Elephas maximus indicus: one gene and its partners. The protein of the gene in region 3 purifies or fractionates together with the protein of the main gene of each other region. This does not show direct contact. Links are inferred from orthologs where the notes say so. Each region holds a gene or a part of one and is shown on either strand. Other genes may lie near its edges.

Region 1 (7,436 bases), on a different chromosome or scaffold from region 3:
ATGTTGACAACCAGAAGGAAAAAAAGTACCTTGGAAATAATAAAGATATTTCAAGCATAATCCCAAACTAACCCTAGTTTTCTGTTTAAACTTTCCCTTCAAAATGCTGCCATTAAATTACCAAAGATTTTTTTAGCCTATAATAGAAAACGAAATTAAAAAAACAAAACTAAACCCATTGCCACGGAGTCAACCCCGACTCACAGCAACTCTATGGGACAGAGAAGAACTGTCCCACAGGGTTTCCAAGGCTGAAAATCTTTTTGGAAGCTGATTGCCACATCTTTCTCCCACTGAGCGGCTGGCGGGTTCCAACCTCCAACCTTTTGGTTAGCAGCCAAACGTTTTAACCATTGAGCCACCAGGGCTCCTCGAAAAAAAAAAAAAATCACTATGAATTTACAATGCCTCCCTCCCTCAAAAAATTAAATTTAAGCATGGAATATCATATTAGGAGTTTTTCCACCTTTCAATATCACATCTCCTACTAGATTCCTTCTCTATGGTAAATTTGCCAATGTTTATATCTAATTTTAAAAGCTCTACTCCAATTTGTCTCCACTGACACAAATGGCTAAACCTATTATAAGAATTCCTGTCAAATTAAGGTTGGTTTAAATTACCAATGTTACAACTATAATAGTTATTTTTCTTCCTGCTCTCATGCATCCATGTCCCTCTTTCCTTCTAGCAAATACCCCATTTCTGTACAGATACCTTCCCCATGTTCTCATGAGATGCTCCCCAAATGTACATCCAAGGGTGGGCCATATTACTCCAAAGGTAACGCTGCTCCTCTTGCCAATGTCTACTTAAGAAGACAAGCCTAAACCAACTGGCATATGGCATCCTTTGCCAATGAGACTCACGAGAGGTATCTTGGGCTTTCTTGCTCTGGAGAGAGAACCACTACTCAAAGAGATGTTTTTCACCAGGTTGAGATGGATTTTCTATTGTGGCCAAAAGCATCTTGTTTGGCAACTTTAAAACATACTGAGAATTCTGATCAACGTTATCTAATGTATTTTTAAACAAATCTAACCATATCCACAAAACCTGTCCTATGACCAATACTGGCCTTTCTGTATTTGAGGACGTTGTTGATTTTGGCAAAAAAAATGGTACTTCAAGAGGGACACAGGTGGAGAAGTAAAGACTAGGGGACACCAGAGTCACAAGAGATTCATGTCCCAGCCACACAGGTCAAATTCAGAAAATGAAAAATCTCTTCTTGACTTCCTATCTGCCATGCCAAAAATGACTTAGCAAGTAGGAAGATGAAACCTGCCTCTGCTAGGCCTGTATTAGAAGAATAATGAGCACCCTAATCCAAGATTGGCTTGTCATTCTTTGCGGGGCATTAATGGACATTTCTCATAAACACTAGTAAACTAAAAAGCAGGTTGTAATTCCTAACAAGAGATAGCAGAGCCAAAAATGACTTTGAGGGCACAGAAACATATTACTGGACCAACACACACACCCTCTGATGGCTGTTATTACCCTATTCTGGCATTTGCTTACTTCCTTACATTGTTGGCCTTGCTGATTTTCATAAGAAGTTTTAGGCAGTTGCTTCCCTCTGGGCTACACAGCAATTTTCCAGTTCTATGACTCAGAACCCTGGTGGCATAGCGGTTAAGTGCTACTGCTGCTAATCAAAAGGTCGGCAGTTCAAATCTGCGAGGCGCTCACTGGAAACTCTATGGGGCAGTTTTACTCTGTCCTTTATAGGGTCACTCTGAGTTGGAACTGACTCGACCGGTTTGGTTTTTTGGTGTGACTCAGAAAGGGGAAAAGAAAGAAGGGTTCTCCTCTGCCATCCCTAGGTAAAATCAGAAAATGTCTATTTAGCTGTGGGAGAGCAAGGCTCAGTTAATTCACTGGGCAGACTTCCACAAACTTTTTTTCTTTCAAGTATTTGCTTGTATATGCAAGTAGTAGTCTATTATTCATCCAAACTAATGGATATTATTTTTATTAGTTCCACACTTCTTTCATCTGTATCACTAATACAAGTATTTTAAGTAAAAAAACATTTATGCCTCCTAAATTTTGCAATTACACTTTTTTTGTCAGAATTAGTAGAGAGCAAGTTCGTTATTTCAAAATACTGTTGAAACACAAGTGCTAAGCGAGTCCACGCTTTAAAAAAAAAAAAAGGCCAAATGACATGCATTAAGACTTTTTAAAATATAAATATCATCCTTTAAAAATAAATGGAAACCAACTGTATAAATGAACTAATAAATACTACCCGGAGGCAACATCTGCACCAGCTACCTGATTCGGCACACGGGATGCAAAACTCCCGATAACCCAAACACTGAAGGCACAACAGAGTCGGCCGTCTGGAAGTAAATCATACATCGCAAATATAGGACCAGTTTATATTCACTAACTGCTCCAAAGGAAATCTGTTATCCTTTCCGACGAGATGATATAGATTTTTTTTTTTTTAATTCTGTAGGTTACCCCAAAGCAACCTTACTTTTCGGGACACACATTTCACACTCGGGAATCAGCAGAGCCTCTTAACCAAAGCCGACAATGCCGAAGACCGCCAGAGGAGCGATGGACTGACCCTGCGCCAGGGAAGCTCAACTTGGGCCGCACAGGAGGCCACCTCTCAGGGCTCCCCGCCGAGGGACCCCCGGGGCCCCCTCCCAGAAGCCGCGCAGCAACCAGACTCCACCGCCGGGAAAAGTTCGCCCCTCGGCATCTCCGCCCCTCGCCCGGACGAGCCCCTCGGGCCGCAGCGCCGTCGCCATGGCGACCGGTCCCCGCCCCATCCCCAGGCGCCGGGGGTTGCCGTGCTGCAGTCCCGCGGCGGGCTCGGGCCCCGCATGGCCGAAGCGTGGGCAGAGGCTGCCCAGCCGGGAGACGAGGAGCGCAGGGCGGAGGATGAAGAGGTGCGGAAAGCGGAAATCGCCTGGGTCCCGGGCCAGGACGCGGCCTTGCCCCGGGGTCCTCACCCTTCACTTTGCCGAAGGTGCCGACCCCCAGCGTATCCCCCAGGATGTAGTGGCCGATCTTCACCCGCCCGTCGTGTTTCTGCTTCTCGGCTGTCGCCATCTTTCTCCAGGAACTGAGTCTGCGCATGGCGCCCGGGAGGGGGCGGAGGGGGCGGGCAGGGCCGCGCCGGGGGCGGGCGGCGGGAGGGTGGGGACGCGGGCGGGCCGCCCGGAGCCGATCGCCGCCCTGCACCGCCGCCCTGCACCGCCGCCCCTTCTCCGCAGCCAGCCGGCGGGCGCAGACGCTCCCCCTGGCGGGCGGACGGGGGTCGCTGGGAGGGAGCCGGGAGCCCCTTTCCTCGCCCGCACCTCTCCGGCTCCGGGCGCCCGCCTGCCTGCCTGTAGGAGAGGCTTCCTGGGGCGCTGAGAAGAGCGACAGCCCCCAGGCTCCTTTCCCCTCTGCGGAAGTCTCTGTTCTCAGTGGACGCTCCCGATTCCCACTCCTGGGTCCCGATATAATTCCACCCGGGGAATCTGATTCCAAGGGGGTAGGCGGGCGCTGGGGAATCCTGCTCGGATAATACAGATGTGTGGTCTGTTACTAGTGCACCGAGAATTGAAACAGGACTGAGTCGCCGCGCTGACGCTGTATTTCTAACCTTGGTTCTCGTTTTTCCCTCTTGGGTGCAATCTAGAAGCCACAGGGAGTTTACTCTTGCACCTTTGATGGAGTTTCTTTCTCGCTGCTCTTTTTTCACTTTGAGCCTTAAGTTACTCTTTGAGTATCTCGAAAACTATAATTGTCGGTCTGAAATTTCCTTCCCCGTTGCAGGATGCAGGCTGGGAATGTGTGTGTGTTTGAGGGGGGAGTGGGAGATTGCTCAGACCCTTCGATGTATAGGAACTTATATTGTTAGATTATTAGTAAAATGTAGAATTTCACCGGATCGAAAACAAGGCTTACATCAACCAGACATTTATTTAGTGTACTTGGAATGAGTAAGACTTAGTCTATTATCGATACAAATGGGATTATGCTATATCACAGAGGGAAGGAAGGAAAGTGTGCCTATTTGTAATAGAAATTTAAGTGGTTGTCCTCTAACAGTGGAAAAAACCCAGCGTCTCATCCAGAAAGCAGTGGAAATGCTCTCAGTTTGGCAGTGTCATAGCATTTGGACTAGTGTCAATGGGCACTGAAAATAAGACTAAAATGATGCCATGTTTTTCCCAGTGAAAGTCAGTTGCCTAACCCTCCTGATTGTCATATACTTTCCGTTTATGAAATCAAAGTAACTTACATTAAGCACTGCTTTGTACTAAGCAGGGTACTGCAGAGAAAGAAAAAGTCCCTGCCTTTGAGCTTAGACCAAAAAAAACCAAACCAAACCCAGTGCGGTCGAGTCGATTCCGACTCATAGCGACCCTATAGACATACACCAAATAAGAAGAGAGCAATTCTAACTAGACTTGTCCGGATTATCAAGTTCCTACTGTAGTATGGACTGTGTATATTTTGAAGGGCCAGAAAGTTAATTAAGAAATCTGAGATACTTGGGGGGCAGGGCAGGGGTTACTGTGGTAACTTTTGCTCTCTGGCTTCAGCTCTTTGCCTTGTGAGTTTCTGCAGTTCAGATTTTTCGGACCTCTACAAGTATACACAGCTCTCTGGATTCTCTTAGAAAAAATATATATATTTTTTAACTTTTCCCCCCAGAAATAACTTCTTAAATTGCTTTAAATTTGCATCAAGTCTAGAATTCTGCCCAGGAATGTTCTATTATTTCTTTTAACATAAAAGAAAAAAAAATTGCAAGATGCCTCCATCTGTCCAGTGCCAATTAAGCCACTGATCACAGAATTTTGCAAATCCATTTGCCAGTCTCTTCATGAAGCTAGGAAGACTCACTTAAGAAAGAAATATAAACATTTTTAGCAGAAATATCAGTTGTTTTCTGCTCTGATATTATTTTTATTATAATTCTATTTAATAAATATTCCATAAATGTCCCTTTCACTCAAAAGCTTTGTTAGGGAAACAAAACCTAGAATCTTGGAACAAAGAATTGCATAGGAACTTAGAAGTCATCTTGTCCTGTCTCCCATAGTCTCTGTTTAAGCAGCTTTAATTGCTGGGGGTTTGTTTTTGTTGTTGTTTGTGTGTGTTGAGTTAAAACCTGATTCCAGTTAACACCTGCCAGTTTCTGAGAAAGTAAATAACAAGCCTCTTTACTTCATTCTTTTCTTTTTCTCTTCATTCCTCTTTATTTAAATTTCTGTCACACTTCCTTCCATCCTCTCTTCCTTTCATACCCCCATTGATCTGCCTTCAAACCTTCACTTCCTTTTTTTCTTCAAGCATTTGTTAACTTCTAGACCCTGGGGAGAGATACAAAATGAAAAGTTATGGTCCCTGCGATGGCAGTTCTTCTTATTTGCCCCCAACACCCAGGATAGATAATGTCCACAGGCTCAACATTCTTCTAAAGTGGAAGCGTAGATAAGGTAGACTGTGGTTTATACCCAGTTTCCTGGATTATATATTACTGGAATATAAGTGAACAGAAGTGATATTATAGAAGTAGCCTTGAAATCACTTCACTTTAAAGGGGAGAAGGGAGTGGAAAGTAAATTGTTTTCAAGCTTCAGTACTTCAGCTTTTATTGGTAGAAGTAAGTTACAGTACATCCCAGTGTTGATGAAGACATACCGGGATGGCCCAGCACCATGGGTCTCGTGGAGAAGCTGGGTATTTAGTTTTCATGCTCCTTCTGCTCTAGCCCGTTAGAGATTCTAAGGTAGCTGTGTCTCCTCTTAAGTCTTTTCTTAAGGCTATCACCGCATTACTGGACCCTACACTATCCAAGTGGACATTCCACTTCCTCAATGACTATCTCCAAATATGGCAGCCAGGACTGAAAATTTCTGAGTACTACACTATTAATATTAACACACAAATATTTCTTTAGCTTTGTCATAGTTATGTTGTAATTAATACTCAATATTTTTTGAATGACATTGTTTTCAAGCCAAAAACCAAACCCATTGCCATGAAGTTGATTCCAACTCATAGCAACCCTACAGGACAGAGTAGAACTGCTCCATAAGGGTATCTAAAGCTGTAATCTTTACAAAAGCAGACTGCCACATCTTTCTCCTATACACTGACTGGTTATGCCTGTATTACAGTCAAAAAAAGTAACTATTAGAAAAAATAACAAAGACTCCAACATTAGTATGGAAGATGCTTGGAGAAAGGCAAGACCAAAGTGGGCTAAAACAAGAGACTGGCAATCATCTCATTAAGAAATGATGAGGGAGGCATCATGTATGAAGAGGAGAAGTAAACGGAAGACCTATTAAAAAAGGTAGAATTACCAAGACACACAGATTGATCTGGAGAGAGGGGGTTGGGAAGGAATCTTAATTACCTTCCAGGTTTCTGGTTTGGGAACCTGAATAAATGATGGTGCCATTGATCTACACAAGGAACTGCTCAGAAGCAGACAGGACTTTTTGGAGGATGGTGAACGGGGGTTCAACAGAAATAATGAGTTCTACTTGTAACATTGAAACATCTAACAGACACTCAGATAAAGATATTCATGGTAATGCTGATAATACAGGTCTGTAGCTCCAAAGAAAGGCCAGCTAGAGATATTAAATGAGTAATGTCTTTTATAAGGATCAGCACAAAGCTGGTTCCTATGAGGTGAAGGTTGAAGATGTCCCAAATGTCCAGCTTTTCCAAACTGCTGTACCACTCCATCATCTCAAACATCAACTACTCCCTCTCCACTCAGTATTCTCCCTCCCATCTTTGGGTTCCGTAATTAACTGCAAGGTCTCACAGAACTCTGGAACTGTACCAAGTAAATGGCTCACGCAGTTGTGAAGGCTGGCAAGTCCCAAATCCGGGGGTCAGGCTTAGGCTTCTGCTGACCCACATGGCTGCACGTGGCTGCAGGGGCTGACAAACCCAAACTGGCAGGTTAGACCACAGGCTGCTGGCTCACAAGGCTGCAGAAGCTGGCAAATCAGATCAGACAGTAGGCAAACCAGTTCATGGGCCTGTGGAGGCCTGCAAATCTCAGAATTGGCAGGTCAGATGGCAGCCCTCTGGCTCAAGTCCCTAAAACCAGAGGCCAGATGATCAAGAAATGGATGTGGGATCCAGATGCAGAGAGAAAAAGCACTTTCTTACTTTCTAGCATTGCAAAATGTTTGAGATTCATTTTGCAGATTTCATGATTCAATCCTACAATCAGTCATTTCTCCAAGAAGCTTTGGTTCTTTTTATTGGAAAATCATATTGGAAACAAATACCAGGGTGCTAACTGGGTATACTACCCCCAGGGTTGTATCCTTTCACAATGCTTATTCAATCTTTACGCTGAGCAAATAATCTGAAATGCTACGCTATACGAAGAAGAACTCAGCATGAAGATTGGAGGGAGACTCATTAACAACCTGCATTATGCA
Region 2 (8,208 bases), on a different chromosome or scaffold from region 3:
CAGGGTAGGGGCGGGGGCGAGGACTGGGAGGACAAGGCCCTATGGCTTCCAGCTCCCAAGCCTCCAGCCTCACCTGTCCAGGGATGTAGTAGGCCCCCTGGGAAGCTGGGTAGGAGATCTGGGAGGGGATCATCATGACTTGGGATCCAGCAGGGTAGACATGGGCAGCTGGGCCAGGGCGGGCAGGGGCTGCGCTGGGCACTCGGGAGGCGGCACTGCTCGGGGGCTGGGCCCGGCTAGTGTAGAAGTGCTGTCAGGAGGGAGGAAGGCCGTTGGCATAGGGAAGGGGAGGAAGTGGACTGCAGGCTGGAGAGGAGCCCTGGGGGCGCCAGAGTACAGCGATCCAACTCTCCAAGACCCACTTGGCCCCCTGTACTCACACATGTCCTCTGTGTTCAGATACAGGCTTTGCACTCTGTACGTGTTTACCCTCTCACTGCCATGCACACTCACGTAACCTCCACCAGACTAGTGCTCTGCAGAAGCTTCCTAACACCCAGATGCCACACGCTGAAGGAAGGCCCTTTCAGGCAAACACTCCCCAGCATGCACCGCTCCACCCTAAGGTGCTTGAGGAGGTAACCCCTAACATGCAAGTCTCCCAATCACCAGACAGATATGCACGCACGCTGCAAAACTTAGCCACTGACATGCATTATGGGTCAGCCTTACAGTGACAGCCTGGACGACAACCAAGTCCCCACCATGAAGAGCCCCAGTCCCTGGATCTAACCCCTAACTGGGTGTACGGTGGGGTGAGGCCAGGAGGAGGTCCAGGATTAGGAAAGAAGAATTACCTGCAGAGACCTGAATCCTCCCTGAGAGCACATGGGGACAGGAAAGAAGAGAATTATCCCCAAGGTGATGAGAACAGAAAATGTGGAAGAAGTAAAGCAAAAATCTTCCCACTTAGCGAAGAAGAACTTGGGGAACAGAGGAGGGCAAGAACCACCTGGAGTGATTCTCTGGCCGCTCCAAGGAGAAAGCAGGGAAGAGGAATGTCCACCTCCCGGTAAAGAAACAGGAAAACAGGAGTTGGCACCAGGGCCCAAAGCACTGCCTCCAGTCCTCAGCAGCACCAGGTCCCCGGGAACGCCACCCCCACCGGCTGCACGCTCCCCAAGGGGCCAGCCACCTAAGGAATCAACAGCGCAAAGTGCAGGGCTGCACGGAAGAACACAGAGCAAGTGTCAGGAGCTGAGAACCAGGTACATGGCCTCCGTAGTCTCCATCTGAGACCCGAACTGGCCCGAGACTGCCACAGCTCCCCACCCAGGCCCCCTGCTCCCCTCCCCACGGCCCCTCACCTGGCGGGGCTGAGAAGGCGTGTTCATTTGTGTCACTTGTGGCGTACTGAACACCACCGGCGCTGTCTGCCCCGGGGGAAACGCTGGCTGAAGGGGGGAGACCAGAGTTCAGCAAGTGGGGAAACCCGGGTGGGGCAGAAACCCAAGCTGGTGAAGTAAGAGGGGTAAGTCTGTGGCAAGGCCTCAGCAGTCCACATCCCCCTCCCCAGGACAGCCCCTGGGAACAGCCCAGGGGCCCTGTCTCAATTTGGCAACAGGCCGTTGCACTTTGCCCTGACGCAGATGGGGGTGGGAAAATCCAGAGGTTGGAACCTGTTCCTGACCGGCTGCCTGGCCTTCCCTACACCCTTCTGGTCCTTGCTAATTCCTCAGCCTCCCTCCCTAATTACCTGTGGGAGTCCAGGGGATGGGGCGGGCGGGGGGCCTGTGGGCTGTGGCGCTTTGTTCATTTCATTTGGTGCCACATCAGGGTCCCCCCAACACCTGTTGGGAAAGAGTGGAGCTTGGAAAGAGGAAGAGACCCAAGTTTAAGGCAAGTGGAGTGGGGGAAGGGTTAAGCAAGGGATGGGTCCAAATCGGAGCCGCAGAGGCACCAAGGGAGTGAAGAAGCATTAACGACCCAGGCTGTGTGTACCCACTAACATGCTGTCAAGCCCGCATCACCGCCATCCACCCCCCTGACCTGCAGAAACGGCGCTCTCACTCACCCCCTCGGTTAAGAATAAGTCCACGGTGCGGCCTACAGGTTCTGGGCATCCGAGGGCCTGGGGTTGGGAGGTGAGGGGTATCAACCCGGCTCCGCGGGGCCCCAGACCAACCAGACCGGAAATTCCAGGTCTCGCTGGCACCAGGCTCCCGGCTCACAAACGGAGCTAGCCGCTTCGGCCGTGGCGTCCCCACCCCCCACCCGGGGACACCGGGTTCGGGGCCCGGCCCGGGGACACACAAGGCACGCCTGCCGCGAGCGGCCGCGGGGGCACCGCGCAGGCCGGAGGCGACGCCCGCCGCCGCCCAGGAGCCGAGGCCAGGAAGGGCGGGCGCCGGGCCCTAAAAGGCCTGGCGAGCGGCGGCCGAGGAAGAGCCGGTTTCAGGCAAGCGAGGGTCGGCCCGGAGGGCGGGCGCGGCCGGGGGCTCCTCCCTGCCCGCCGCCGCCGCCCTGCCTGCGCCCTCCCTGCGCAGCGCCGGCCAGTGCCAAAGAACAACGTGTCACTTCCCGGCGGCCCGGCGGCGAAGGGGGAGGGGGCGCCGGGCCGAGAAGCCGCGGTGCCGGCGGGCCGAGGGGCCTCCCCGGGCCGGCCGCGGTGGCACGTCCCGGCCAGCGAGCCCGGCGCCCTCCCAGCCCGCGGGGGCGCACATTCCGGCCCCGCGCCCCCTCGCCCCCGCCCAGCAGCCAGGCCGGGCCGCGCCGGGCACACGTGGGCCGGGGATCGCGCCTTGGAGGGCCGGGGCCCGGGCTGGGGCCGCGGGGCCGGGGCGGCGGGGCGGCGGCGCAGGGCGGCCGGTCCCGGCCCGGATGGCGGCGGATGCGGGGGGAGGGGGTGGGGGGGCCGGGTCGGGCCCGGACATGGCGGCTTTACCTTCAGTCTCCTTCAGTCCGCGCGGCCGAGCCCCACGCAGCCGCACAGACGTAGTCCACAACCATTTCCGGCTCCCCGCACAGATCCCGCTCGGTGGCCACCGCTTCTCCGCAGGCGCAGCCGGCGCCCCACGTGACCGGCGCAGGGGGAGGAGCCTCGCCCCGGCCGCAGGGCGCCGCGGAGCACATGGCTCTGTCCCGCCCCGTCACGTGACAGCCACAGCCCGCCCCCATGTCCCCTCCCGGACTGTGGAACTCCAGACGAGCTGCCTTGTGCGTCTCTGTTTGGTGGTCCTTTACTCCATTGAGACTTTACTGGGTGCCTACTAACTGCAAGGCGAAGTGCGGAGAATATGGAAATTAAGGAGTCCTAGCTAAGTAAATCATGGTGCAATATGCAAAGAAATGCGAATTATACAGTCTTTGGAGGTAATGTAGATTAGATGCTTGAAAGGCTCGTTAACAAAGGAGATTGAATGTTACCCTGAAAGGACTGAAACATTCTAACTAGGAGACTAGCAAGAGTAGATTTGTTTTATACAAAGATCAACCCCTTCCTGGGAGGGGCAAAAGTTAATCAAGGAACCCAAAAAAAACCCACTGCTGAGAATAATGACCAGAGAGTCAATCCCAAAACCCCTGCCTGGCACCAGAAAGATCTTGGAAGCCAGACGGGAGTGCCCTAGAGTGCAACTCACTTACTGGTTTTTAATCCTGATTTCACTACTTACCACGTGGCTGTCACCTACCTACCTGCTTACTACCTGAGGACTCTGGGCAAGATGTAAAATGGGGAGGTTTGAAACCAGGTGGTGTGGATCAAGTCTGAGCTTTTAACCACCATGCTTTCTCTCAATGATGACATCTACACTATTGGATTTTGAGGATTAGTTAGTACATGTGAAAGTGTTTGAAACAATGCCTAGACATTTAGCAAAGGGTCTATCTACACGGCACATATGTTACCTCAAAATAAAAACAAAAGTTGCCATCGAATCAATACCAACTCATGGCAACCTCATGTGTGCAGAGTAGAACTGTACTCCACGGGGTTTTCAAGACTGTGACCTTTCGGAAGCAGAGCCTGATATATATTGCAGGACTTGATGTAGCTAGGTGAGGGTGTCATAAAACAGCCCCCATTATCACCCCCATCAAGAAAGTACAGCTGTAGGGTGGGCATACTTAGGCACAAAGATACCCAATAGTCATTGCTTTTAAGAGAAGTAGGGCAGCAGCTCCGAAGACCAAAAGAGACACCTGGAGGAGAATAAACACACGGATCTGGTGTTCTCCGCGACGCTCATTTGCGCTCTGTGATTGTTGTCATGTAGGACTCTGCTCTCTCATTTCTCTACTTTGTCCCTAAGGAGACTCATCCATGCACTGACAAATAATTACTGCCTTCATGAGAGTGACTTCCTAACTCAGAAACCACGCTCAAACTCCAGTGACAACGAGGTACTACCTAAAAGATGTCCTTGCCTAATTGTCCCACTGGCATCTCAAATTGCGTGTGTTCAGATAGGAATTTGTCACTTCTCCCTGAATTCGTGAACAGACTCCCCCATCTCAACCCCAAACAAATATGCTCATATACGGCTTTCCAATGAATAGTGCCATAATTTAATGCCCAACCTGAAAATCTGGGCTTCATCCTACACTCCTTCCCATCGACACACTACGTTTAATCAAACACTAAGTCTTATTGATTTTATCTTTTTTGAACAAAACTTCCTTTTACCCCTACCCACCTCCCCACTTCTACTGTCCTAATTCAGGTGTCCATTTCCCTTGTCTAGTCTCTGGGCTTCCAGGGTGAGCTTTCTTACCCACATAGCTGATCATGTCACTTTCCTGCTGACATACAATGGTCCCTGTTGAGATACTGTCAATTTCTTGGCATGACAAAGCTCTTCTAAACCTGGTCTACACCTGTGTCTCCAGCTGTATCTGCTACCATACTCTTCCCTGGTCCCTGTAGACTTAGCCAAACCAAGCTATCCATGGTTTCTGAACACATACAGCTTTTCCTCCTTCCTGCTTTTGCTAATTGCTTACCTATATTTTCCTACCCTCTTTCCCCTTGGACAGACTCTTCTTTTTTCAAGTCTCAGCTTCCTCCAAGAAATTTCACCACACTCATCCAAGCACTTAGGCCCTATCCCAATGATCCCAGGGTATCTTGTTCGCCCCCAGTACGGTATTGATCACAATATATCACAATTGTTTTCATGTAATTATCCGTCTTCTTTTCCATTGTGTAAGCTTTTTAAAGATTGGATCTTTTTTTCTATCTTTGCATTCTCCAAACTAGAATAAGGTTCAATGCAGAATAAGGTTCTGTTGATATTTGTTGCTGAACAAACAGTTGAATATGAAAGGTTAAGAACCACTATGAAAATTTCTTACTCTAAAACACAGTAACCAATTTGGAAGAAAATTATCTGTAAAAATGGCATGGCAGAGGCGTCTGACTTCACAAGGGGGAAGGAGAATCAAAAATAGCCCAAGGCTGATTCCTATGAGGCAGAGGTCAAACACACCTCCACCGTCCAACCTTTTTACCAATTCTGATGACAAACGTCCCTCCCATAGCACTCCCTACTTCTCTGCTGGGTTGGATAATTCATTGCAATGGCCACACAGAACTCACAGACCATACTCAAAGTAATGGCGTTTGTTAGGGAAGTAACAGGTAGTTCAGGAAACAGTAATTCAGGATATACTTCTTTGGATCAGGACAACCTCTTCTCAGCTATGCCCACAGGCAGGCCTCTTTCTGGCCCTTGGCCCCTTAGCCTAGACCCTGCCCCGCTCAAGCAAGTGTTACAAAGCTCTTTAGCTCCACCAATAAATGCCCAGAGGCAACCCACCCCACCAAGCCTCTTGCTGGAAGGCACTTAGCTTTCTTGCTCTATGGGCCAGGTAGGTCACCAAGTAGTCCCCTGTCAGCTTTCCTGGTTCTGCTGCCTCTGCTGCCACCATTTCTCTGCCACTGCTTCTCACCATCTTGCCATCTCCAGTGTTACGGTTCTCTTTCGCTGTCTCTGGGTCTAGGAGGGTCTCAGCGCAGAGATCCCAGGTCCAAAGGATGTGTTCCACTCCCCTCTCTTCTTTTTGATGGTAGTCAGGTCCCCCTCTGTGCTCTGGGATTGCTCATTTTAAGGCTAGCAGGATGGCAAAACTGACCAATCCCCTTGTTGGGTTCCTATATACTGTATTTGCATGGTCCCATCCCCACAAGGGTGCCATATACTTATTTGTACTATTAGCAAGATGTCCAGGTCTCTTGGTGGGCCACAAGCACCTTATTTGCACAGTCCCACCCAGTCATTTGGTGGGAGTTACAAGACCATGGTGAGAAATCAAAACCAAACTCATTGCCGAAGAATCAATTCTGACTCATAGCAACCCTAGAGGACAAAGTAGAACTGCCCCATAGGGTTTCCAAGGAGTGCCTGGTGCATTCAAACTGCCAACATTTTGGTTACCAGCTGTAGCTCTTAACTACTGCACCACCAGGGTTTCTATGGTGAGAAAGGCCGTGTAAAAGTGATCAGTTGCACTGCAGGCCACCTTCTGACTTTTCTAGCCATAGTTTTCATACTTGGAGAGTAACCTCCCCCTTCCAATTATTTTGTCAGTCCAAAACAGTCATCAACAATTAGTACTTCCGTAGGGCAAAGAGGCCTCTGGGTGAGGTTACTCAGGTACCAGTCATTCAGGTCTGCTGCAGGTATCCATCTGATCTGGTCAGGTCTCCAAAAGCCATCTTGGCTTCATCTTTTCTAGCCTCTGATAAAATTTAACTGTTGATGTTGTTGTTAGGTGCCGTCGAGTCCGTTCTGTACAACAGAAGGAAACACTGCCCAGTCCTGCGCCATCCTCACAATTGTTGCTATGCTTGAGCCCATTTTTGCAGCCACTGTGTCAATCCATCTCATTGAGGGTCTTCCTCTTTTTCTCTGACTCTCTACTTTATCCAAGCATGATGTCCTTCTCCAGGGACTGATCCTTCCTAAAAACATATTCAAAGTATGTGAGACTAAGTCTTGCCATCCTTGCTTCTAAGGAGCATTTTGGCTGTTATTTCTTCCAAGACAAATTTATTTGTTCTTTTGGCAGCCCATGGTATATTCAATATTCTTCACCAACACCATACTTCAAATGCAAGTTGGAATCGACTTGACGGCGATGGGAAAAATTTAATCAACAGAAGATTATTCCCTTGCTCTGAGCCTCTCTGGAGGTATAATTCCCAATGTTCACTTCCATCATACATTTAGGTCTGCTTTACAACACCAAGTAGGAGAAACATTCAATATCCAGAGTACATGCAGATAAACATGTGACACTTTTTAAAACATTCCAGTTTCATCTTCTCTTCTTCACACCTTAACTGTCTTCCCATTCATACACATATGGCCTCATCTCATTTGATCAAACTGGCTTTTGCCTCAGGCCACTGCAGATGCAGCTTTTCTCCCCTCAGCTGCAGCATAACATCTCTTTCCTTTCAGTCATTACAGGTAACAACCACCAAAGTAACCACCTAAGAATCACAAGTTTCACTTCCCATGCCCCTTCATTCTTTCTCTTACAAAGTTCCACGCTTCCATGAGTCTGGAGCCATTGCAACAAATCCCATTTCTGACACCAACAGTAAAAATGGTGTGGTGGTGACATCTGACCTCCTCTAACTTCACAAAGAGGAAGGAGATTCAAGATCAACAGCCCAAGGCTGATTCCTATGAGGCAGAGGTCGAACACACCTCCACCCTTCAATCTTTTTACCAGTTCTGACACCAACTGTCCCTTCCATGGCACAGTCTACTTCTCTGCTGGGTTCAATAATTCATTGAAATGGCCACACAGAACTCACAGACCATACTTACAGTTATGAGGTATATTAGGGAAGTAACAGGTTACAATTCAGGATCAGGATACAGTTCTTCAATCAAGACAGCCTCTTCTCAGCCATGCCCACAGGCAGGCCTCTCCCTGCTTCTGCTCTGCTTGGGCAAGTGTTATAAAACTCTTAACTCCACCAAGAAACCTCCTGCTGGAAGGTGTTTGGCTTTCTCATTCCACTGTGCTGTCTCTTGGTAGGTCTCCTGGTTCTGCTGCCTCTGCTGCTGCTGTTTCTCTGCCACTGCTTCTTGCTGTCTTGCCATCTCCGGTGTTACAGCTCTGTCTCCTGGGTCTAGGAGGGTCTCAGTACAGGGATCTCAGGTCCAAAGGATGCACTCCACTCCCATCTCTTCTTTTTGGTGGTAGTCAGGGCCCCCCTGTGTTCTGAGATTGCTCATTTTAAGTCTAGCA
Region 3 (7,736 bases):
CCAAATCATTCAATCAGTTCACTCATGACAACAAATATTCATAAATTAGAGCTCTCCCTAAACTCCAATTGTCAAAGTTCATCATTTAGAACTTGTGAAAATGTTGAAAGTTATTGGCTTTAGGAATGTTCCAAGTTTTGCACTTCAACCCAGGGAGCAGGGTTCAGTCAATACTTTCTAATCATATAGACATAAGCTCTAATCTATGTAAAAAAAAATTCAAGTTATAATCTTAACAAGCCAGTTTTAAAAAAGGACCTTTACCATTCATTTAGAGCCCTGGTGGCGTAGTGGTTTAAAGCTCATCTGCTAACCAAAAGGTCAGCAGTTCAAATCCACCACCCGCTCCTTGGAAACCCTAGGGGACAGTTCTACTTGTCTTATAGAGTTGCTAGAAGTTACAATCGCCTCAAGGACAACAGGTACCATTTATTTGTTGTTGTTATTCCCAACAGCAAACAAGCAAAATGCATATCATGGTGCTTAGCACATGGTAAGTGCTCAGTCAATATTTGTTAATTAATGAATGAATGTCCGTTAAAGCTGTGGAACCTTTAGGACAGCAGGCAACTGAACAAAACAAATTTCCTAAAATGCTCAGACCAACTCAAGCAAGATCCAATAATTAAATCCTGGCACATACGATTCCACTGTATCATGAAAAATCAAACTATTTCCTTCCCACGTTCTTCATGCTAGACTTAAAAGCACTTAAATCATACTTTAAAAGAATAAACCCAAAGTGATGCTAACATTTATGTTCAACTAACTTTTGCCAGTCCAACGTACTAAAGATGAGTATAGGCAATATCAGGGTATAAAACAAATACCGCTGTGAGACAGTAAATGCAAGTGAAATTACAATTAAGTTTACATATTATCAGCACTAATTAGCATTTCAATCAATTCTGCTGCACTGTGATAGGTACTTATTAAATAATGGAAGTAAAGTATTCCTAAACATGCCTTCTTCATTTCAAAATCATTATGAATATCAAGTTACACATAAGTTCACAATGAACCTTGTACCCATTCATGCTAATCTTAACAATAAAAATAAGCTATTTACATTAATATTTAACGCAAATATTACTTAATATAAAAATATGCATATTTAGTACAATATAAACAACAACAGCAAAAAACCACTGCCATCCAGTCTACTCCGACTCATAGTGACCCTACAGGACAGAGTAGAATTGCCCCATAGTTTCCAAGAAGAACCTAGCGGATTCGAACTGCAGACCTCTTGGTTAGCAGCCACAGCACTTAACCACCACGCCACCAGGGTTTCCTAATATATAACAATATAATTAAGTATGCATTCAATAATATTACAGTAATATTTAATGTAAACTTTTACACTGAGAAATTCTTATTTGGTTTGAGAAATATTAACATTTAAATTGAGAAAAATGTGATATGCAAATCTCTTATGAAAAAAATTGCATTACACCTTCATAAAAATTACTTAACTGTGATGCCCCTTTTATGTGCAAAGAACTGTACTACTTATAAAAGTAAATGTATAAGTGAACACAAAGTTAACAGGGGAAAACTGCACAGACCAAAGTACCAAAAATTTAACAAAACTGCAGCTTTCTATAAGATCTAAATTTTTTAAAAATAAGGTTGCCCTGTTTTTAATTCCACAACATACACTAATTCTCAATACCAAAAAAAAAAAAAAACCCGTTGCAGTCGAGTGGGTTCCGACTCATAGCAACCCTACAGGACAGAGTAGGACTGCCCCATAGGGTTCCCAAGGATGTATCTTTACAGAAGCAGACTGCCACATCTTTCTCCCGCGGGCTGGCTGGTGGGTTCAAACCGCCCACCTTTTGGTTAGCAGCCGCGCTCTTAACCACTGCGCCACCAGGGCTCCTTAGTAATTGCAATAGTTATTAAAATCTTAAAAGATGTCTATTCCAGATCGACTTCATTTCCAAAACGGCAACAAAAGCCAACAGCTACTTTGTTTCATTTTTCCATGTTTAATACAAAAGCATATTGAGACTGTATAAAAGTGTCCCATAATTTCTAGAGGTTTGATCGCAACAAATCAGCGGTCTAAAACATGCTTGGAAAATAACGCCACACGTCGATTTTTATCCAGAGTAATTATAATTTCGGGGTGGGGTGGGGTAGGGAGGGAAATAAGAGCTCAACTCTACACCCTCGCCAAAAGCGAAAGGTTCTTTTTACTCTTTCTTTCCACTATGGTATTATTTTAAACGGCTCCTCAACTTTGGATACTTTTCTGCCAGGTTGTTTTAGACGTTAGTGTCAGCTTGGCTGAAATGGATTCGTGCAAAGATGTCACTCAAATCCAAGTTAAACTATGGTCCTTGCGACTTATTTCGAGTTTTCTTTGGAACAGTAACCTAAGGCTGCTCCCCAGTGTCTGGATCTTACAACCCGAAAACCTGCAACCTCCCGTCGTCAAAAGAGCTGAGGAAAGCCACCTTTTGGGGAATGGGGGGAAAAGAGTTACCCCCAAATCCTCATAGCTCGTTTCGGGCAAAGGGAGCAACATGGAGCTGTCTTGACGGCTCAGTCGTTCCAGGGGGCCCTGGAGGCCCTCTGGCTGCCCCTCCCCCGGAGGCCGTGCTGACTCGGCGAAGAGGGGCCCCTTCCACACCCCAGTTCCCGCCGTGGCCCGGGCCCAGAGATTAACCCCTTCGGCGCCCTACGCCCTCCGAGGAGCGGCCGGGCCCCTGCGCCCCTCTCCCGGCCCGGAGCCTGGGGGCGCGGGCGGGCTGCGGGGGGAGGCCGCGGGCGCGGCGGCGGGAGCGCGAAGGCTCGGGGCCTAGTCCCGGGCAGCATGTCCCGGCGCCCTCCCCCACTCCACACGCTCGCTCCCGGGGCAGGGTGCGCCCGCTTGCCCGCCCGCCCACCCGCGCGGCGCCCTCTCCGCCGAGCACCCAGGTCCCTTCCCGCCGACGCGCAGGCCGGTGGGTACCTGCGGGCTGTGGAGGGCCATGGCGGCCCGTTTCAATGGACTCGGCGCGCCTCCGGACTTCTCACGCTGCTTCCCCCGCCGCCGCCATCTTGTCGCCCGCACATACACACTCACATCGGTCGCCGCGCCTGCGCACTGGCCGCCGCGCCGCGGGCAGGGAGGCCCGGCGCGGGCGCGCAGTGCGCCTGCGCGGCCGACAGGTGGGCGTGCGCCAACCGGGCCCACCTTCTGGCCGCGGTGAGGCCAGGGAATTGGACTCTGAGCCGGCGTCCTTCGGCGGAGGCTGGATCGGCCGCGGACGGGAGGAGGCAGCTAGGGCTTTGTTGCGTGCGGAAACGGGAAAAGGGAGGCAGATGAGGGTGACAACGCCGAAGCGACAGGCAGGCCCCACGCTGCTCACCTGCTGGGAGGCCGCCAGGCTGGGAGGCCGACCTGCGGGACTCGGGACATCGTGGCCCAGAACCCCGGTCTGACCCCGTGAGCCCCCAGCGTCTCTTTTCCTAGGCCGGGCTCTCCGAAGTGATCGCTGAAATTCCTCGAGGAACAACCTGATTTATGGAGATCACATTCCAGTCCATCCATTCATTTATTCGTTCATCCATACGTTGCACTAATATTGCTTGTGCGCCTACTCAGCGCCACATCTTTTGCTAGGCATTGGAGAATAAAGAATGTCATACACCAAAAAGCGCTTAGCATGGGGCGTGCCAAATAGAAACCACTCAATAAATGTTCCCTGTTTTTTCTTTTATTGCATACATTTATGTACATTACATATATACAGACTGACTGGCTTTGGGGTTGTTTTGTTCACTCATTTATTTAAGAAACAGTTTGTAAGCTCCCCTACCTGAACCCACAGTTTACCAGCCAGTGCAGCTGTGATGTGGTTAGTCCCCTGACTAGCTGTCTGAATTCAGGCAATTTTCTTCACTCTCCTAAGCCTTGGCTTCCTCACCTGTGAATGAAACTAAGTCTTCTTAACTCCTAAGATTTCTGTAAGGATCAACTTAATGAGTGTACATAAACCCAAAGGCCAAGGAGCCCTGGTGGCCCAATGGTTAAGCATTCGGCAGCTAATTGAAAGTTGGCAGTTAGAACTGCCCTGTGGGAAAAAGACCTGGTGATATACTCCCCTAAAGATTACAGCCTAGAAAACTCTGGGTCTGGGGGACATCTAGGTCAATCAGCATAACACAGCCCATAAAGACAATATTCTACATACTGCTTTGGTGAGTAGCAAGCAACTGGGGTCTTAAGAGCTTTCCAGCAGCCACCTAAGATACAACTATTGGTCTCTTCCCATCCGGAGGAAAGAAGAGTCAAGAAAATCCAAGACTCAAAGAAACAATTAACCCAAAGGAATAATGGACCACACAAACTGTTGGCTCCACTAGCCTGAGATCCGAAGAACTAGGTAGTACCTGACTACCACTACCAATCGCTCTGATCAGGATCACAACAAAAGGTCCTGGACACAGCGGGAGAAAAATGTAAAACAAAATTCAAATTCATAAAAAAGACCAAACTTACTGGTCTCATAGAGATTGGTGGAACCCCTGAGACTATAGCCCTTAGACATCCTTCCAAACTGGAACTGAACCCACTCCTGGAGACCACCTTTCAGCCAAACAATAGACAGGCCTACAAAGTGAACAGTAACAACTTTGAGGAACGCGCTGCTCAGGACAGTCAACCATAGGAGACTGAAAGGGCAGCATTTGGCAAAAACAAAGTTCAGATGGCAGAAAGGGGCAGAAAAGATAGGCAAATGGAAACGCAGAACCCAGGAAGGAAGTGCTGTCACATTGAGGGGATTGCAACTAATTTCACAAAACAAAATGTGTATAAACTGTTAAATGGAAAACTAATTTGCTTGGTAAACATTCACCCAAACTACAATAAAATGTTAAAAAAAAAAAAAAAAAAAACTCTATGGGGCAGTCCTACTAGGTTGCTGTGAATCAAAATTAAATCCACGGCACCTAACAACAACAAGCCCAATGGCCAAGTGAGCCTGCAAGAAAAAGCAGCTACTGTGATTATTATTCATAACCATTATAGGTTTCACTTGCTTAGCAAACATGGACAGAGAGCCTATTACTTTGCTAGACCCTGTGCAAAGAAGCAGAGGTCAACAATGGGATCCATTCCCATGTTCCATAAGACAGCAGGCCTGGTCTCTTCGAAAATGGGGTGTAGTGAAAAAAAAAAAAACTGTGTGGGAGAAGGAGATAGTTTTAGAATACCAAAAAGCCAAACCCACTGCCATCGAGTCAATTTCGACTCATAGTGACCCTATAGGGCAGAGTAGAACTGCCCCATAGAGTTTCCAAGGAGCACCTGGTAGATTTGAACTGCCGACATTTTGGTTAGCAGCCATAGCACTTAACCACTACACCACCAGGGTTTCCAGTTCTAGACTAGAAAAGCTAAAAAGACATAACCAAATACAATGTGTGAACTTCAACTGCATTGTTTTTTGCTGTTGTTGCTTTTTTTTTTAGCTTAGTAAATATTTTTTGACACTTGAAAAAAATTTTTTCATTGTGCTTTAGATGAAGGTTTACAGAGCAAAATATTTTCTCGTTAAGCAGTTAATATACACACTGTTTTGTGACATTGGTTGCCAACACTACGATGTGTCAATACTCTCAGCTTGTTGACCTTGGGTTCCCCATTACTAGTTTTGCTGTCCCCTCCTGCCTTCTCGTCCTTGCCCCTGGGCTGGTATGCCCATTTCCTCTCATTTGGCTTTATGGACCTGCCTAAGGAGTGACTTTAGTAGTGGTTTAAAAGGGCATCCGGGGGCCGTACTCTTGGGGTATCTGCAGTCTCTGTCATACCAGTAAGTCTGGTCTTTTTTTGTGAGTTAGAATTTTGTTTCACATTTTTGTCCAGCTCTGTCAGGGACCCTCTATTGTGATCCCTGTCAGAGCAGTGACACTTGAAGAATCTGAATACGTATTGAATATATGTGATTTTAGGGAATTATTAGTCATTTTCATAGAGTAATAATGATACTGTTTTTATGTAAGAGAATATCCTTACTGTTAGGAGATGCATGCGGAGGATTTAGGGGTGAATGTGTCATAATTTGCCTGCAGATTATTTTTTAATGGTTCAGTAAAAAATAAAATTGTATGTACACACATAAATACACATTGAGAGAGAGAAAGCAAATATGGAAAAATGTTAACATGAGAAGGCAGCAAGGGACAGGAAAACTGGACAAATGGACATGGGGAACCCTGGGTGTAAAGAGAAAGGGGGAGAGCGCTGACACATTGTAAGGATTGCAACCAATGTAACAAAACAAACTGTGTATACATTTTTAAATGAGAAACTAATCTTTGCTGTAAACTTCCATCTAAAGCCACAATAAAATTTTTTTAAAAGACAGGCCTGAATTCAAAACCTGGCTCCCCCACTCACTGGCCCTGTGAACTTCAGCAAGTTACTTTATCTTCCTGTAAATCTTTTGCATTAGGAAGACGTGGTAGGCAGAATAATGCCCCCTCCCCAAAGGTGTCTTTGTCCTAATCCCCAGAATTTATGAATACGTTACCTTACATGGCAAAAGAGACTTTGCAGATGTAATTAAATTAAGGATCTTGAGATGGGAGATTGTCCTGGATTATCCAGGTGGGTCTGAAGTGATCACAAGGTCTTTATAAGGGAAAGAGGGCAGCAGGAGAGTCAGACAAGGAGATGTGAGGACTGAAGCAGAGACCAGAGAGAGAGATTTGAAGACGCAACTGCTGTCTTTAAAGATGAAGGTAGGGGACATGGAGCCAAGGAATGCAGGTGGCCTCTAGAAGCTGGAAAAGGCAAGGAAATGGATTCTACTCTGGAGTCCCCAGAAGGAACCAGCCCTGCCAACACCCTGATGTTAGCTTGGTAAAACTTCTGACCTACAGAACTTTAAGATAATACATTGTTGTTGGTACAAGGCAGTACATTTTTGGAGACTAGCACACAGAGTAGTAGCACCTATGTTGCAAGCATGTTGCCAGGAAAAAATGAAGTAATGGTTCTAGCACATGCTGTACAGTGCCTGGTGCTTTTTAACTATCATTCAACAAATAATAAAGGAATTTCTATTATTACCCAGGGAGGCTGTAAGTTTCCCAAGAAAGGAGCATTTGAACTAGCTGGGGAGGGAGGGGGGTCCATATCCCCCACCTAACCTAATTGATACACGGTCTTACTGACAAACAGGAATTAATTCATAGGCCCAAAGGGCAGAGTATTTCAATTAGGCCTGTCCTGGAAAATCCTTCTCTAGAACTCTGATAGGATAGAGGAGTGCCACTAGCTGTGTGAACTTGGACCTCAATCTCCTCATCTGTAATGGGAGAAGTATTAAATGACACAGGAAGCATCAAAAGAAGATGGAAGAAATACACAGGGTCACTATACCAAAAAGAACTGGTCAACGTTCAACCATTTGATCAGGAACCAACGGTACTGAAAGAAGAAGTCCAAGCTGCTCTGAAGGCACTGGCGAAAAACAAGGTTCCGGGAATTGACGGAATACCAATTGAGATGCTTCAGCAAACGGATGCAGTGCTGGGAGTGCTCGATCGACTATGCCAAGAAATTTGGAAGACAGCTGCCTGGCTGACTGACTGGAAGAGAACTATATTTATGCCTATTCCTAAGAAAGGTGATCCAACCAAAAGCAGAAATTATCGTACAATACCATTAGTATCACATGAAAGCAAAATTTTGCTGAAGATCATTCAAAAGTGGCTGCAGCAGTATATCTACA
Region 4 (7,098 bases), on a different chromosome or scaffold from region 3:
GAGCAAGGGAAGGGCACAAGCAGATTCACTCTTTGGAATAATGCAACAGGCCCACTGGCATAGTGGTTAAAGTGCTCAGCTGCTAACCAAAAGGTCAGTGGTTCAAACTCACCAGCTGCTCTGTGGGAGAAAGATGTGGTGGCCTGCTTCCATAAAGGTTAGTCATGGAAACCCTGCAAGGCAGTTCTACTTTGTCCTGTAGGGTCACTGAGTCGAAATCGACAATGAATTTGGTTCTGTTTTTTTTGTTTGTTTGTTTGGAGAGGGGTTGCAAACTCAGCATCTACAGGGGCCGCCAGTTGGAGATCCCCGCTTTTCAGCAGCAAGATTCTTGTCTAACACAGGCTGCCTGAAGCAGAGGGGAGTTGAGACATCATCTGGTCTCACACCCTCACTTATGGATGAGGAAACCGCAGCCCAGAAGGGTTAGGCCACTTGTCCGAGGTTACCCAGTAACACCAGGTGCTATGAGAAAATACCTGCAAGCGTGTGTAGATAATTGTTCCCTGATGTCAATTCTCCCCCATCTTCTATGACAATAAAACCAGTTGCCTTTGAGTTGACTGTAACCCATGGTGACCCCATGTGTGTCAGAGGAGAACTGTGTTCCATAGGGCTTTTTTAAAAATAATATTTTATTGTGTTTTCACAGCAGTTTAGGCTCCCATTTAAGTTTCTGTACGAGTTGTCCATAGGGTTTTCAGTGGCTGATTTTTCAGTAGATTGCCAGGCCTTTCTTCCAAGGCACCTCTGGGTGGAGTTGAACTGCAAACCTTTCAGTTAGCAGCTGAGCACAGTAACTGTAGGCGCCACCCAAAGATTCCTCTATGGTAACATTGTTGGGTGCCATCAAGTTGATTCCAACTCATAGTGACCCTAGATGACAACAGGACTTCCCCATAGGGTTTTCTTGGCTGTAATCTTTAGAGGAGCAGGTCACCAAGTCTTTTCTCCCCCAGAGCCTCTGGTGGGTTCAAATCAGGACCTTTCCTCTGGTTAGCAGCCGAGTGCTGGCCCCCACATGGGTGGCTAAAGACTACATTTCCCAGCATTCCTTGCGGCTAATGTTAGGTGGCCAAGATCCGGCCAATGAAGTATAAGTGGAATGTTGGGCCTGACTTAAAGGGTAAGTCCGAAAGGGAGAGGGCAACCTCTCAACACCCTGCCAACATCCCAGGGACAGATGGCCCAGGACCCAGGAAGGGGACAATCAGTGGGATGGGTCCAGGTGCCCAGGCATCTATGAGCTGACAGGGAAGCCCGTGGCGGGCCCTGCCTCAACCTCCCCTCTCCGAACACAGACCTGAAGTCGGGGATACCGGAGGAGGTGCTGATGCCGGCGCCTGTGTGGAAGACCACATTGGAGGCCTCCCAGAGCAGCTGGGCCAGCGCCCACACCTTCCGCTCCAGCTCCTCTGGGGGGTCGAAGATCTGTTGGGAGAGAATGGGAGGGTGGGGTCGGAACGCGCCCTACAAGCATGGAGACCAAGAGCCACAGATGGACTGACGTGCTATGCTCAGGGGGAGGAGACAGGGTTGGAAAGCACAGCTTGTCTTGGCGTCCCTCCTCTGCCTGTAGCCCACCATGGCTCCCACCTTATTCCGTAAAAGTCCTCCCTGCCCTGTCCCCGCCCTGCCCTCCCCTCCTCCTCGGCTCTCCCCTTCACTCATCCCGCTCCAGCCACAAGGGCCAACTCACCAGGCACGGTCCTGCCTCAGGGTCTTTGCCCAGGCTGTTCCCTCTGCCTGGAGTGCTCTTCCCTCAGATCATCACGCCAACCACTCCCTCACCTCCTTGAGGTGTTGGCTCAAATGTCATCTCAATGAGGCCTCCCTGGTTACCCAGTTTCAATGCCGCCTTTCCCTCCACCCCCAGCTCTCCCAGATTAATTTTTCTCCATAGCTCTTAGCACCACCTGACTTATTACGTTCATTTGTTTCTTGTCGGTGTCCCCCAGTAGAATGAGAGGGTTTTGTCTGTCCTGTGTCCTACAAAGTGCTTAGTACACAGTTGCCATCAAGTCGACTCCAACTTAGGGTGACCCATGTGTATCAGTGTAAAACTGTGCCCCCACAGGGTTTTCGATGGCTTATTTTTTGGAAGTAGGTCACCAGACCTTTCTTCCGAGGTGCCTCTGGGTGGACTCGAACCTTTAATCTTTTGGGAGCAGCTGAGCATGTTCACAGTTTGCACCACCCAGGGACTTCTGGTACACAGTAGGTGCACAATAAATGTTTGTGGAATAAGATGAATAATGGAAGGGATTCACACCATCTGAGAGTTTATTAAACGTATGATTAGAAAAGAATGGGCCAGCCTTTATGAGATGGGAACCATGTTGTCCTTCAGCTTACAGAAGGGGAGATGGAAGCCCATAAGGGAAGAGACCCGCCTAAGGTCCCTCAGTAGGTGGTGGGCACAGACTGTTACTCCATTTCCTCCCAGAGTGGCTGGAGGGATCTTTCGGACCCTCCTCAATCTGTCCCGGTCGGTACCTCCCCAGCTCAAAACCCTTCCCCATCACACTTCCCAGCCTGCCATTTGAGGCCCGTCCTGGCCGGCCTCTGAAGATCTCTTTGCCCTACTCTGTTCTCCAAGTGTGTTTATCCCACATTCCTGCCTTCGCCCTGGCTATTCCCTCCCCCTGGAACTACGTGCCCTCCGCCTAGAACTGCGTGCCCTCCTCCACCACCAGCCTTCAGGCCTTCCCCGACCTCAGTCCCAGCCTGGCCCACCCAGAGCTGGGCGTGTTCGTGTCCCCGGGCGCGCAGGGGTCGTCACTTCCCGCCCCCTCCTCACTGGGAAGTCCCTCCCATTGTCTAACCTCAGTGCCTCCTGATACTCCCACAATGCCCCGCTGCTGGCCAGCCCCTCCCAGCCCGCGACCCTGGGGGCGCACTTCGGGGCCCCAGGCCGCGCTCACCTCGGGGAGGCCGCATTTGCCCTTGTCAGCATACGGCGACAGCCCCGCCGCGTAATTCACCGACATCCTCGCTCATCCAACGGGAACAATAAAGTTTCCCTTGTTGAGGCCGCTTCCGCCGGAAATGGGGCGGGCGGGGCGGAAGGAGGGGCAGCGCTCTTTTTCTACGGGCCCGGCGTCTTCCTCCAAGGCGCATGCGCGTGTTCGTGAGGCTGCAGGCGCCATCTTAACTGCTGGCAGAAGGAATTCCCGGTTCCCTGTCCAAACTCGCAGGGGTGGTTAAGGGGCTGCGAAGATTGGGGCGGCAGCTCACGTGAGAGTTCTGCAGTTTCTTCTAGAATGAAGTGCATAAGCGATCAGTACCCCATTCCCTTGTTTTATAAATGAGTAAACTGATGTCCCTGTCACCCCCAGTAAGGACATAGCCAGGAGGGCAGGGACCCAGGACTCCTGCTTCTCTACACCAAGGATCTTTCTTCTGCACATTTCAGAAGTTTATAAAGTTACAAAACGCAGGGTAGGAGAGTGAAACTGCACAAGGTTGTTGAGGCTGGTGGCCTTGAGTACCATGTTGAGCACCTACTGTGTTCTGGGCAGACCCTGGAGAACAAAGAAGACACGATTCCCTACTCGTTGTTAGTGATGGACGCAAGCATCTGGCCAGTCAAAGGTGTCACAGTGTGGTTGAGGTGCTACGGGGAACGACGAGGGCACAGAGCAATGAAGGAGCTCGGAGGTGGCACTTCACCCAGCCTGGGGGCGTCCCGGGAGGGCTTCCTGGAAGGGGAATGACGTTGCAGCAAAGACCTCAAGAGTGAGTAGCGTGAGGTGGAGTGAGTGAGCCAGTTCGGGGTGACGTGGGGTTCAGAAAGTGGACTCCTGGCAGAGGACTCCTGACAAGTGCAAAGGCTGGGAAGACAGCAAGATCATGGCTGGTTCCAGAAACTGAAATCAGTCCAGTGATGATGGGAGGAGAGCATCTTCCCGCCAGAGCCCGTCGATCAACGGGCAGCCCCGCTGCCAGCCTGTCTCCTCCCTCAGCTCATCCCCGGCCCCCTGGGGCAGCTGCCTGCTCAGAGCTGATCAAGTGTCAGAGCTTAGTGCCCAGAGCGGCTGGTGTGAGCTCACAGCCCGGCTGGGAGTGGGCAACTGGAGCCGGCAGCCTGCACGGTGGCCTGGTGCTGGGGCACTGGAGCTGCAGGAGGTAGGAGAGGAAAGGGGTGAGAGAGGCCTGGGATGGAGGCTCCCCTCAGGGCTCAGGGCTCCTTGCCCTCTGTAAGAGAGAGGATAGGCTGGTGGTGTGTCCCAGCCAGGGTCAGGAGCTACCCAGGCTCCAGGCACACGGATACGCTCCTTCATGCATACACTGTCCCCTCCAGCCTGTGCCCTGCCGGGGACATCCTCCTTTCCTGCTGCTGCTGCTGTCTAATATCTGGCCGGGCCATCAGGCCCAGCTTATACTTTATCACCTCTTTCAGGAAGCAAATCCTTAGGTGAGGGGATTCCTCCCACTGAGCCCACTGCTTCCCTCCAGCTCCGGGCAACCTGTGGAGTCCTCTCCTGGGTGTCTTATTACACTCTGCTTTGAGTGTGACTTGACACAGTGATTAAGAGCTCGGCTGCTATCCAAACGGTTGGCAGTTCGAATCCACCAGCCATTCCTTGGAAACCCTATGGGGCAGTTCTCTGTCCTATAGGGTCGCCATGAGTCAGAGTCAACTCTACGGCCATGAGTTTGATTTGGTTGGTTGAGTGTGATTGAGACCTTTATTTAAAACAAAAGCAAAAAAAAACCATTGCCTTTTATTAGGGAGTAAAAAAAAGGGTGGGGGCGGAGGTACATTAATTGGTGGATGGGGAATGAATGGATGGGCCATAGATGAATGAGTGGGAGGGTAGATGGATGGTTGGGTTTAGGGGGTGGGTAGAAGGATGGATGGGTAGATGGTAGAAGAAGGATGGGCGGATGGATGAGTGGGTGGGTGGATGGGTGAGTGGGTAGGTGGGAGGGTGGATGGGAAGGTCAATGAGTGGTTGAGTTGAAGAGTGGTGGATGGATGGGTGGGGTGGACAGATGGGTGGGTGACTGGATGGGTGGGCAGATGTAGTAAGGTCCATGGCTGTAGTAAGTTGGGTGGGTGGGCAGATGGATGGGTGGGTTGATGGATGAGTGACTGGGTAGATGGATGGGTGAATGGGTGGATTAGTTGGTGGATGGTGGCTACTGGGTGGATGTACCGTGCTCGAGTAGGAGGATGTGTGCACAGGTGAGTGGATGGGTGGACGATGGCTTTCAGAATTCACAGGCAGGGGGACAGGCCATCCCACCCCCCCACCGCCAAAGGCAGACAAATAAAGCTACACTTTCACCGAGATCCTGCTCACACATAGAGACCCCAGTCACACACCTTGCAAAACAGCCCCTCAAAACATCCTGACCTGCATGCACACACATGCATGTAACAGGCAAGGTGGACAGACGTGCCTGTATGTACACACGTCATACTCCCGTGTGCATCCACACACGTGCAGCCATCACCCCAGACCTCCACCACCCTGGGTGACCTGTCTCCACGCCCTCACCATGCAGAGGCCAGGCTTGTGTATGGGGACTTAGCTGCAAGGTTGCTCTCTCTGACTATCCAAGAAATGTGCCTCTATGCAGACAAACCTCAGACTGGGCCTGGCCCCCAAGGAACCCCTAACTGTTGAGGAAGACAGAACTGGTCCAGATACTCCCAGCCTGTGGAGCCAGGGCTGGGGTAGTCCAATCTGAGGAGTTAGGACTCAACCTTCAGGCAAGAGGCAAGGCTGATCAGAATATGTTATTTTGGGACTGAGTAGGAGTTCACCAGGGAAAGACAACAAAAAGGCATTCTAGGCCGAGGTAACAGCAAAGAGAAAAGCTTGGAGACTGGGAAAAGCTTGATCGGCTTGGATAATAGGAAATACCAGCAGCTGGAGTTGGGGAAGAGTGTCTCCAGGAGTGGCTGTGGGAGAGGAAGGGACCACCTGCTAAGGCTAAATCGTAGGGACCAGGTGAGGTGCATTTATTGAGCTCCTACAGTATACCAGGCTCTGTGCTAGAAACCTAAATGACAATTGACCGTGAGTCAGTTGAGAGGGGATTGCTGTTGCTGGCTGCCATTGAGTCAATTCCATAGTGACTCCACGTGACAGAGTAGACCTGCCTCATAGGGTTTCCTTGGCTGTAATCTTTGCAGGAGCAGATCTCCCGTGGAGTCACTGGGTTCGCACCACCACCCTTTCTGTTAGCGGCCAAACACTTAGCTATTTATGCCACAAGGGCTCCATCAAGAGGGGGCTATCTACCCCAGTTTATAGATGAGGAACGTGAAACAGAGAAGGCGAGCGGTCTACCCAAGGACACACAGTAAATAGGAGGTGGATCACTGGTCCTGTTCTAGGGGCTGCGGCTGCCCATGAAGGAGGAAGTGGTCCTTTGGAGCAGAGGGAGGCAGCCAGACCCTCCCGTCCTCCAGGACTGGGTCCCTCACTCCCCAATCTCTCTGGCCTTTCCCAGGTGGCCTGGGGCGAGGAGAAACGCCGGACGCTGGCCATGAAGACTCTCCGGGCACGGTTTAAGAAGACAGAGGTTAGTCTCATGCTACTGAAATGCCTAATGCAACCCCAGGGCCTGGCCAAAGATCTGCTGGGATCCACCCCTCATCAGAAAACTGCTCAGAATTCCCTGCTCAAAACCCTACAATGGTCCCTCCCCACACACAGGTTCAAGGCCAAGCCATTCAGCCTCCGCCCACCTTGCCTCCTTTTGCTCTCTGCTGCCCCCTGCTGCCCGTATCTCCCCCACTGCTGCCTCTATAAGCTTTCCACCCACGATTCCTTTGCCCAGGCGGTGCCCTCTGCCTGGAACACTCCCTGCATTGCTACTTATGAAATCCTCCACACCTCTCCCAATCTGTCTCCATTGCCACTTCCTCCAGGAAATCTCTACCCTCCCCAGCTACAGTGGCCGCTGGCTTTTCTGGGCACCTACTTTCTCAGCAACTCCAGTCTTCTGTGTTTGTGTGTTTCTTCAGTAAATATTTGTATCAGGCACTGTTTTAGGCACTGGGGGAACAGTGTGAATGTGGCAGACAAACCCCCTCCTCGTGGAGCTGACTGTCAAGTGGGGGAGACAGACACTACACAA

The links.
Region 1: the proteins of USP10 (region 3) and PRKAA1 purify together in Homo sapiens (affinity purification with western blotting; 3 studies listed by BioGRID). This does not show direct contact. The link is inferred for Elephas maximus indicus from reciprocal best matches to the Homo sapiens genes USP10 and PRKAA1.
Region 2: the proteins of USP10 (region 3) and EIF4G1 purify together in Homo sapiens (affinity purification with mass spectrometry; 4 studies listed by BioGRID, with this or other methods). This does not show direct contact. The link is inferred for Elephas maximus indicus from reciprocal best matches to the Homo sapiens genes USP10 and EIF4G1.
Region 4: the proteins of USP10 (region 3) and SIRT6 purify together in Homo sapiens (affinity purification with western blotting; 4 studies listed by BioGRID, with this or other methods). This does not show direct contact. The link is inferred for Elephas maximus indicus from reciprocal best matches to the Homo sapiens genes USP10 and SIRT6.

Annotation. Positions count from the first base shown.
Region 1 is NC_064820.1:46,893,692-46,901,127, forward strand, and holds the start of PRKAA1 (5'-AMP-activated protein kinase catalytic subunit alpha-1), read right to left. Parts: upstream 3,120-7,436; 5' UTR 3,103-3,119; coding exon 2,976-3,102; intron 1-2,975. UniProt on the Homo sapiens protein: Catalytic subunit of AMP-activated protein kinase (AMPK), an energy sensor protein kinase that plays a key role in regulating cellular energy metabolism.
Region 2 is NC_064819.1:30,774,615-30,782,822, forward strand, and holds the start of EIF4G1 (eukaryotic translation initiation factor 4 gamma 1), read right to left. Parts: upstream 3,016-8,208; 5' UTR 2,885-3,015; intron 2,599-2,884; exon of another isoform or gene 2,015-2,598; intron 1,791-2,014; 5' UTR 1,757-1,790; coding exon 1,697-1,756; intron 1,395-1,696; coding exon 1,308-1,394; intron 251-1,307; coding exon 74-250; intron 1-73.
Region 3 is NC_064839.1:50,585,970-50,593,705, reverse strand, and holds the start of USP10 (ubiquitin carboxyl-terminal hydrolase 10), read right to left. Parts: upstream 3,051-7,736; 5' UTR 2,984-3,050; coding exon of another isoform or gene 2,963-2,983; intron 1-2,962. UniProt on the Homo sapiens protein: Hydrolase that can remove conjugated ubiquitin from target proteins such as p53/TP53, RPS2/us5, RPS3/us3, RPS10/eS10, BECN1, SNX3 and CFTR.
Region 4 is NC_064821.1:7,230,419-7,237,516, forward strand, and holds the start of SIRT6 (NAD-dependent protein deacylase sirtuin-6), read right to left. Parts: upstream 3,030-7,098; 5' UTR 2,991-3,029; coding exon 2,925-2,990; intron 1,432-2,924; coding exon 1,304-1,431; intron 1-1,303. Other genes in the region: ANKRD24 (ankyrin repeat domain-containing protein 24), read left to right, coding at 6,505-6,540. UniProt on the Homo sapiens protein: NAD-dependent protein deacetylase, deacylase and mono-ADP-ribosyltransferase that plays an essential role in DNA damage repair, telomere maintenance, metabolic homeostasis, inflammation, tumorigenesis and aging.